Linked DNA regions of Oreochromis niloticus. The protein of the gene in region 2 binds, or shares a complex with, the protein of the main gene of each other region. Links are inferred from orthologs where the notes say so. Each region holds a gene or a part of one and is shown on either strand. Other genes may lie near its edges.

What was found.
Region 1: the proteins of dickkopf-related protein 1 (region 2) and kremen1 are in contact, whole or in part, in a crystal structure (PDB 5FWW), measured with the Homo sapiens proteins. The link is inferred for Oreochromis niloticus from reciprocal best matches to the Homo sapiens genes DKK1 and KREMEN1. Residues at the interface, in NP_036374.1 of Homo sapiens: Cys189, Leu190, Arg191, Ser192, Ser193, Cys201, Arg203, Trp206, Ser207, Lys208, Lys222, His223, Arg224, Arg225, Lys226, Gly227, His229, Gly230, Leu231, His261; in XP_011528731.1 of Homo sapiens: Pro67, Asn88, Asp90, Asp92, Ser94, Trp96, Gly105, Val106, Tyr107, Trp108, Tyr110, Asp127, His128, Gly129, Pro132, Thr140, Asn142, Glu164, Ser165, Tyr167, Ala168, Phe170, Asn189, Val191, Phe193, His196, Asp203, Gly204.

The regions. Positions count from the first base shown.
Region 1 is NC_031977.2:30,683,901-30,687,825, forward strand, and holds the start of kremen1 (kremen protein 1), read right to left. Parts: upstream 3,039-3,925; 5' UTR 2,927-3,038; intron 1-2,926. UniProt on the Homo sapiens protein: Receptor for Dickkopf proteins. Cooperates with DKK1/2 to inhibit Wnt/beta-catenin signaling by promoting the endocytosis of Wnt receptors LRP5 and LRP6.
Region 2 is NC_031978.2:15,067,422-15,071,346, reverse strand, and holds dickkopf-related protein 1, read right to left. Parts: upstream 2,362-3,925; 5' UTR 1,989-2,361; coding exon 1,773-1,988; intron 1,645-1,772; coding exon 1,500-1,644; intron 1,323-1,499; coding exon 1,188-1,322; intron 1,061-1,187; coding exon 795-1,060; 3' UTR 203-794; downstream 1-202. UniProt on the Homo sapiens protein: Antagonizes canonical Wnt signaling by inhibiting LRP5/6 interaction with Wnt and by forming a ternary complex with the transmembrane protein KREMEN that promotes internalization of LRP5/6.

The DNA.
Region 1 (3,925 bases), on a different chromosome or scaffold from region 2:
TTATCTCAAGAACTTATGGAGCATACGGGTCCAAAGCCATGGCACCAAAGCTCAAATTTAGCTTCTAAACAACAAAACACATTTTATCATTGGGACTGTTCATGTGAAACCTAAAAGTCTACAAAGAAATAGTAGAAATTTTGTTATGATGAAACAGAAAAAATTGAATTATCCAAGATCCCCCTTTAATTCTGGTTTCTTTGTAGACTTATGGAAGATTCTTCAAAGGATTTCAAAAAGTGGTCACCAGGACTGAATCAGCATTAATTCAAATCCTCATTTTGAGCACAAACAGTTCCAGCGGTTTACCTTTGTGGCATATATTGAGGGACAATTGTAAACATGCTGTGATGGATAGGTTTTTCATGTCACCTAAGCAGGGTATGCAAACAAGGCAACATAGTCCACCATATGCATAATGTAAACTTCTGAGAAACACACTTTGAGGTTCCAAAACATGGTATGGCTACAGTGTTTACACAAGCTGCACAAAAGGATGATGGCAAGGGTTTTGACGTCACATTTAATCTCCGCAACTAAACACTTTATGGCCATGGGAAAACAAAAACAAAGGTCTGTAGAGTCACATAACTACAATGACAAAACTCATGAGCCCCGTTACAGGTTTCAGAGTGCAAAGACAAATGTATGTTTACAGGTTTATGGCTTCAGCATATAAACAAGGCCAACCCGACCCCGGCATGGTCACTGTTAATATGCCATGTTGTGCTGTTGTTTGGTTGGTCTCCCATTACATCGTAGTCACAAAATGAAACGAAACGACTTTCTTACATGCAATCCATGAACAGTCAGCTCACAAAGCATGTCAAATCCTTGCTTGCAAAGTGAAACTGAGTTGTAGTCAGGACTAATAGATTTGGAGGTCCTGCTGCTTGAAGCTCTAAGAAATGATCATAAAGTACATCCAGTAAACTCCGGAATACAGTGGTTTTTCATATTAATCGTTTGTTTTTTTTTTTACTGTGTTTCCTTTCTGGCTTCAATCTATGCGCTAAGTTAGCCAGCTGCTGGCTCCAGCAACATATTTACTGGAAAAAAAATGTGGAATCAATTCTCTTTAATTTAAATCGCAAGGGGGAAAAAATAAAATAAACCCATTTCCCAAAATATCAAACATTTCCTTAAAAGCTCATTTTAAATGAATTTCTCTTCAGATTCTATGTAGAGAGACACGTAGGCTCACCGGCCACTTTGTTAGGTACACGTACTCAACTGCTCTTTAACACCCATATGTAATCAGGCAGTCACACAGTAGCAACTTAGTGCATTTAGGCTTGTAGACATTTACACCCAGCATCAGAATGGGGAAGTAAGGTGATTTCAGTAGTTGTGAACATACATAGTTGTTGATGTCAGACAACAACTGACATCAGTTGTTGTCTGACATCAACATTTTCTGAAAAAACTGTTTATCTGTTTAACTAACAGATCAACAGTTTTTTCAGAAACTGTTGATCTGTTAGAAATTTGCAGCAGAACTGTCTCTAGGATTTACGGAGGTCAAAGTAGGAGAACATATCTAGTAAGTGGTAGCTTTCTACCTTCTTAATGTCAGAGGTAGGGATGCTCACACTGTTTGGAGCTGACAGGATGGCAACAGTAACTCAAATAATTACTCATTACAACCAAAGTATGCAGAAAAGCATCTTGGAATGCACAACCCATCAGAGCACTGAAGTAGATCAGCTGCAGCAACAGAAGACCACACCGAGTGGCACTTCTATCAGCTGAGAACAGGAAACTTAGATTACAAATCACATGGACTTACCAAAACTGGACAACAGAAGATCGGGAAAACATCGTCTGGTTTGATGAGTCTCGATTTTGGCTCCAACATGAAAAAATGGAAGGGTGAAAAATTTGGTGCAGCCATCATGAAATTATTGATCCAATGTTTGTTGTATCAGCGGTGGTGGCGGTGTAACTGTGTGGGGGATATTTTCTTGGCACACTTTGAGCCACTCAGTGCCAACTGAGCATCATTTAAATGCCACAGACTACCTGACTATTGTTGCTGACCATATCCATCCATTTATGTCCACACTCTACTCATCTGCCCAAGACTGCAGGTTACTGAGACATGTTACGAAGCTCAAGTGATCGCTGCTCAAATGGCCTCAGTGGTAACCAGGTCTCAACAGAGCACCTTTAGGATGTGGTTGAATGTGAAATTTGTATGTTGGATGTGTAGCCAACAAATCTGCAGGAACCCTGTGATACTATTATGGGTTCAAAAGCCAAAAGAGGGTTCGACACCTAGAAAGGTGTAACTAACAAAGCCTCTGGCGAGTGTACAATTTGCCACATAAAATGTGGAGTGTTTGGTAAGCTTGATATAGAATACCTTTATCTAGGGCAATATATGAATATATGGTGTATAATGCAAAAAAAAAAAACCCACAGAAAATTAAGACATTGCATTGATAAATATTCTGTTCAAAATAGGCAATAAGTGTTTTGTTATTCTTTTCTGTGAAAAAGTAATAAATAAAATTTAAAAAAAGTAATTATTTCATGAGAATATAGTAAAAAAAAATTTAATAGTGTTCTGATGAGACAAAGAATGTATTTGATAAACTGGGGAACTAGGCAAAGTCTGCCATTTTTTGCCTAAAGGAAACAATTAACTGATTAAAAAAATAATTAAACAATTCTTTCAGCTTTGCAGTTTAAAGTTTTTAATTAATTCTCTTTCAATCCTCAAAGTTATGTGTGAATAAAAAAATGCGAGTACTGAATTCTTAAGGTTTATAGACATAGATTAGAGTAGTGCAGCATGCTGATGACAATGTATTTCTGCATCAAAATTGTTTTCCAGCAGTTCAGAAGCGTGTCTGAATATCAGGACCAAAACAAAAGAGAAAGTCATCTTCCTGTATATAAATATGAATAACAAGAAGCTAACCTGATAATGCTGTGGCTGCTGTGTTTTCTCAATTAGTGACAGCCTGAGAGAGGACAGGGACATGAATACTTATGAGATCTTTGACCTTGTGAGTTTGGACGCACTGAGGAAGAGAGAGCATAGTGAATCACAGCAGTAAGAATTCATAATGAGACAGAGAGAAAAATAAAGGACCTTCAAAGCCCCGGTGATATTTATCGCACATCCATAAGCAGGTATATCCAGACACAAACAGAGCACAACATCCAGAGACATCACAAGCAAGTGCGCCTAGACAGTAAACAATATCTGCCTCCAGGGCCTCTGAATGTGGGCTAAACAGATACAAAACAGAGTGCGACAGTGTCTTGAAAGTGAGCATAAACAATTGTGAATGAATCATTTCATGCACTCAGTAGACTCAATAGAAGTCGGTCAAGCTGGTTGCACCAGGTTAAATGATAGTGAAAAAGCACTTGTGCTTGAAGCATTGAATATTTAGATGTTTTTGATTAATGTCAGTAAATGTAAAAAAAAAAAGAAAGAAAAGATACCAGCCCAGGCTTGCCTGCGTCTCTACTGGCATGGTTTCATTCGAAAGATATCTCCAGTGCATGTGTGGTGTCTCTGTACTACGACTCACACGGTTTCAGACTACGTGCACACCCACTCAGAGACACACACAAAAATCCTTAGGGGGAAAAATGCACATGCACAAAACAGACATTTAATTCTTTCTTTATCATATCTATGTATCGTACAAGTTCCACAGCGCATGATAACGAGAAAAAAGGAGGAAAAAACAAACCAAGCATGGAGGAATATGTGCCTTTTGAAGTTGTCTTTCTTCTTGGAATTGGGTTTGGCGTAACGTGGCTACTTAAGCAGATCATTAAGTGTAATGGTTGGCGAGGATTGCAAAGCTTTATCTCTAATGGCAAGAACAAAGTTCTTGATGATCTGGGGGATTCTGGAGCTGGATTTGATGGGAATTCCCATGCCTGCTGGAACAGTTTACTT
Region 2 (3,925 bases):
CACCACAGACATCCTTCAAACAACTTTTGCTTTTCAGAAGGGGACAGTTGTTATTTTTCTGTGTACCAGCTACTATATGAAGACTAAATCATTTAGTTTTTAACTTTTGCAAGAAACCTCTACAAATCCTACGTAAAGCCCCCCCCCCTTTTTTTGTTGCAGTAGATTCAAATTTTAAAAAATGATGAATAGAAAGACTGCATTAAGATTATCACGTGACATTTAATAAAACAAATATATTCAAATTTTCAATAGATAACATTTCTTATAAAACATTATATATAACACATTTACAATGCATGCAGCACCATGTCTTTATAATACTGGTGTTGACAGAATGTAATAGCTCATTTAAGTGCCACATCCAGGGAAATATGTACAATACAGTAATTTACTGCAATAACCGTGGCATGAAGTTCCATAAAAAGAGAAACAAAACAGCTCTGCCATTACCAACGACATGCATTGATCTTCCTAATACTTCTGAAATGTCACTTCCTAACTTCCGACTCCTCATCTGCTGAAAGGGAATTGAATCAGTCCGTCTTGCACTCTTGTATCCCTCTGGGTGTATCACTTTTCCAGGAATCATGTCTATCCTTCCGGCTGATGTGTTTGTGTCAGCAACTTTGGCAGGAAAGAATGTCTTAGGTGTCTGTGTGCATGTGTGTGCGCGTGTGTGTCAGCATCTCTTGTGTATGCAAGTGTTTGTCAGTGTCTGTGACTGATTTGTGGGTTTTGCTGGGCGTGTGAGTGTGCAGGTTTCTGTTTCTGTGTGCGTCCACTCGTTCATGTCAGCGTCTCTGACAGGTGTGTAGGTTCCGGGCTGCAGTCCTGCTGACAGTGTGATCTCGCTCTCCTTTCTCTGGTCGGCAGGCCAGCCCTTCGCCGCAGTCACAACGCTGGAACAGCTCCAAGCCATGGTTGCCTTTCCTGCGGTGGCGCGTACACACCTGGCCCTCTGTCAGAACAGGCTTACAAATGCGAGACCAGAAGTGTCTGGCACAGCAAAGACCCTTGGAGCAGTCTGCAGATCTCAGGCAGGCATCCCCCTCTTGGCCTGGAGATGAGGGGGGGAAGAGAACAAAGTGAAAATATGTTACATGGAACAGACCTCCCTGAAAACTTCCTACTGCTGTTACTTGAACCCAAGAGATAAGACTGATGATTTTTAACAGCACACTTACCTTTGACAGCATGAGGCTGGTTGCTATGGGCAGTGGGAGGCTTCTTGGCTCGATGCTCCGTGGTACTGTTGTGTGTGTGCCAGCCAGTGGTGAGAGCTACATCTGCACCATCTAAGTCATTTGCCTGGCAAACACCTGAAAAGGTAAAAGACGAAAATAAATAACTGCATTTAGGGTTTGCAATTAACACTACAGAAAAAGCCCTTAGTTAATTAAGATATAAATAATAAGTAGAAAGTTGAATAAAAAAATATAGTTTACAAGATGACAAAAAGAAAACCAAAAGTCATTACTGATTTGAAATGAGCTCACCGTTGCTGCAGCGGTTTCCTGTACAACACATCGAGTCCCTTGCGCAACGCTTTCGGTTCTTACGGCAGGGTAGACAGACGCCTCGAGCATCGTTGCAGAATTCCTCACCTCCACACTCTTCATCATCCGTGCAAACACCTGAGCTCTATATATGATTAAAAACAAAAATATTATGTCAGGAAGTATATTGCTATGATTTCTGTGACAACGTATATAAGCGAATCACTATTGTGGTGCACAGACTTGACTTTTACGCACGGCTGAGTTAATTACCTGCAAGGTGTCTGCGGGTAATTTGTGTCCCATGCCACCAGAAGGTGATGTTCGAGGACTCGGACTGACACTATCGGTATCTTTAACAACCGGAGCGCCGGGCAGGTTTTTGATCGCGTTGGAGTTCGTCAGGACTGTGCCCGCGTAAACGTCCCCAAGGTATCCAAACAGCGTGAGATACACAGCCAAGAAGCGGCGGACTGAAGGCATCTTCATGATTCCTTTCTTAAATTCTCCGGCAAACACACGATAAGAATGTCCCTTTTGTTTTGAGAAGAAGAGTGACAAAGTCCAAAACGGCCTTGAATCCAGAATCCTAAAGTTTCCAGAGAGTTTCAGGACGATGTTTGGAAGTCTCCTGACTCGCAGTCCTGGGATGATCTCTCTTTATACATGTGGACCTGTTTGTCTTCCCGCCCCTCGCTGTGCACTACAAAGGCGGAGGGGTGGAATTTCAAACAGAGACCCACTGTACGGAAATGGCCATCTCTGCTCCCTGCACAGGACAACGTTTCAGTGTTTGTGATGATAATGACCTGCAAAGTCTGTCTGAATACCCATCACACAGTGGCGTACACGGGAAACAACCCCCCAACCACCAGTCAGTACTTACTCTATCCAATCAGTATACAATAAATAAATAAATAAAAACATAAAAAATACAGATGACAAATAATGTTTTCTTTAATATTTTTTCGATGTGTTTTAAAAATATTACTCACAAATTCATCACTCGAGTCCCTCCCCCTTAGATAGATCTCTTATGAACGACAATTTTATATTTTAAACACACAAATCACACATCGGGAATAGTTTTTTTTTTCTCCATGTTATTTATCACTTATTTTAATTTTCGCAATTACTGTGAAGTTATCAAAATAGGCAAGTAGTATATTTTTCAAACTATTATAGGTATAACTTTATAAAATAAAAACAATGACGTTTTTCTAAATGTGGTAGCACATTTGATTTGTTGACTGATTTTGATTTATATCTCTGATAGGACTATTTCTGGTGACAACTTACCTGCGCATCTTTGTAGAAGCCGTTTGCTTATTCCAGTTTCTTTGACATCCTTTGGCTGCCCTTTGGCTGTGTGAAGACAGCGATTGAAGTTACTTAAGTCGATTAACTACTTCATTTGATCCCTCTGATTGCAAAGGGGGCAATTATCCCCCAACGTGTGCTTGATTACACCAGTTGCGGACATCAATGTGTAGGATATGCAGACCATTAAGGGGTGTGAAAACTTTGCCGAATTAATGGACTTCCGTGGAGAGGCCTTTCAGGGTTGACTGGCACTTTGAGATTAAAGGCGACTCTGATCTACCCTGCTCTTTGACCCTTTAGGCTCCACCACTTCAAGAAGGAGAAATGTATTTGAGAATATTGAAATTAAGTCTCAATGTTGTTTTTCCACGTGAATCTGCTGATAACCCCACATCGCACTAGACTTGTCTCCGTGTTTGTCCTTAAGTTGTTATCTCTCGTCCCTTTCCTGAGAGATGTGAGCTCTTCTGATTTATTTATTCACCTTAAACCTTTAGTGACACTGATTTCAAAACTTTTTGCACTGTGTGTGTGAACAGTCAGTTTTCGCTGTGCAAGAAGAGCTCCCTTCAGATGCTGAAGTGCGTGATAAAAAACAAGAACTTAAGTTTCTCCTTGTAGATATCTTAGCACTTGGACGTCATCTGCTGGTCACGGAGCCTTTATCCGAAGTTTGAGTGTGAGAACGTGTCTGCGTGTGTAGAAGAATAAGCGATGCGCCATAGACACCTGACAAACACATTAGCACTTTGCGCATTTGAATTGCTGCATATCTTTTGAAGTAGAGCTTTTATCTCCACTTTACTGAATGTCAGTACTGGTAAGGTGAGCTCCTTTGATGCACTTTGATCCCCTTTGATCTCACAGAAGTGTCACCCTGTTGTTATGGCTGAAGCCATTTCCCTGTGCCCCAAACAGATTTGTTGTGCGAACAACACGGAGGCCAAAAAAGCTGAATCATCCGCACTTACCACTAAGTGGATGACATTAAACTCTTGGAGTGATTATTAGATATCTGGGAACTTTAAGCGGTTCACATGAGGCTGAGGCGCCTGCGTGAAGGGACGTTTTAGTCTTACCATTAGCTCCCCCTTGTGGCAAAT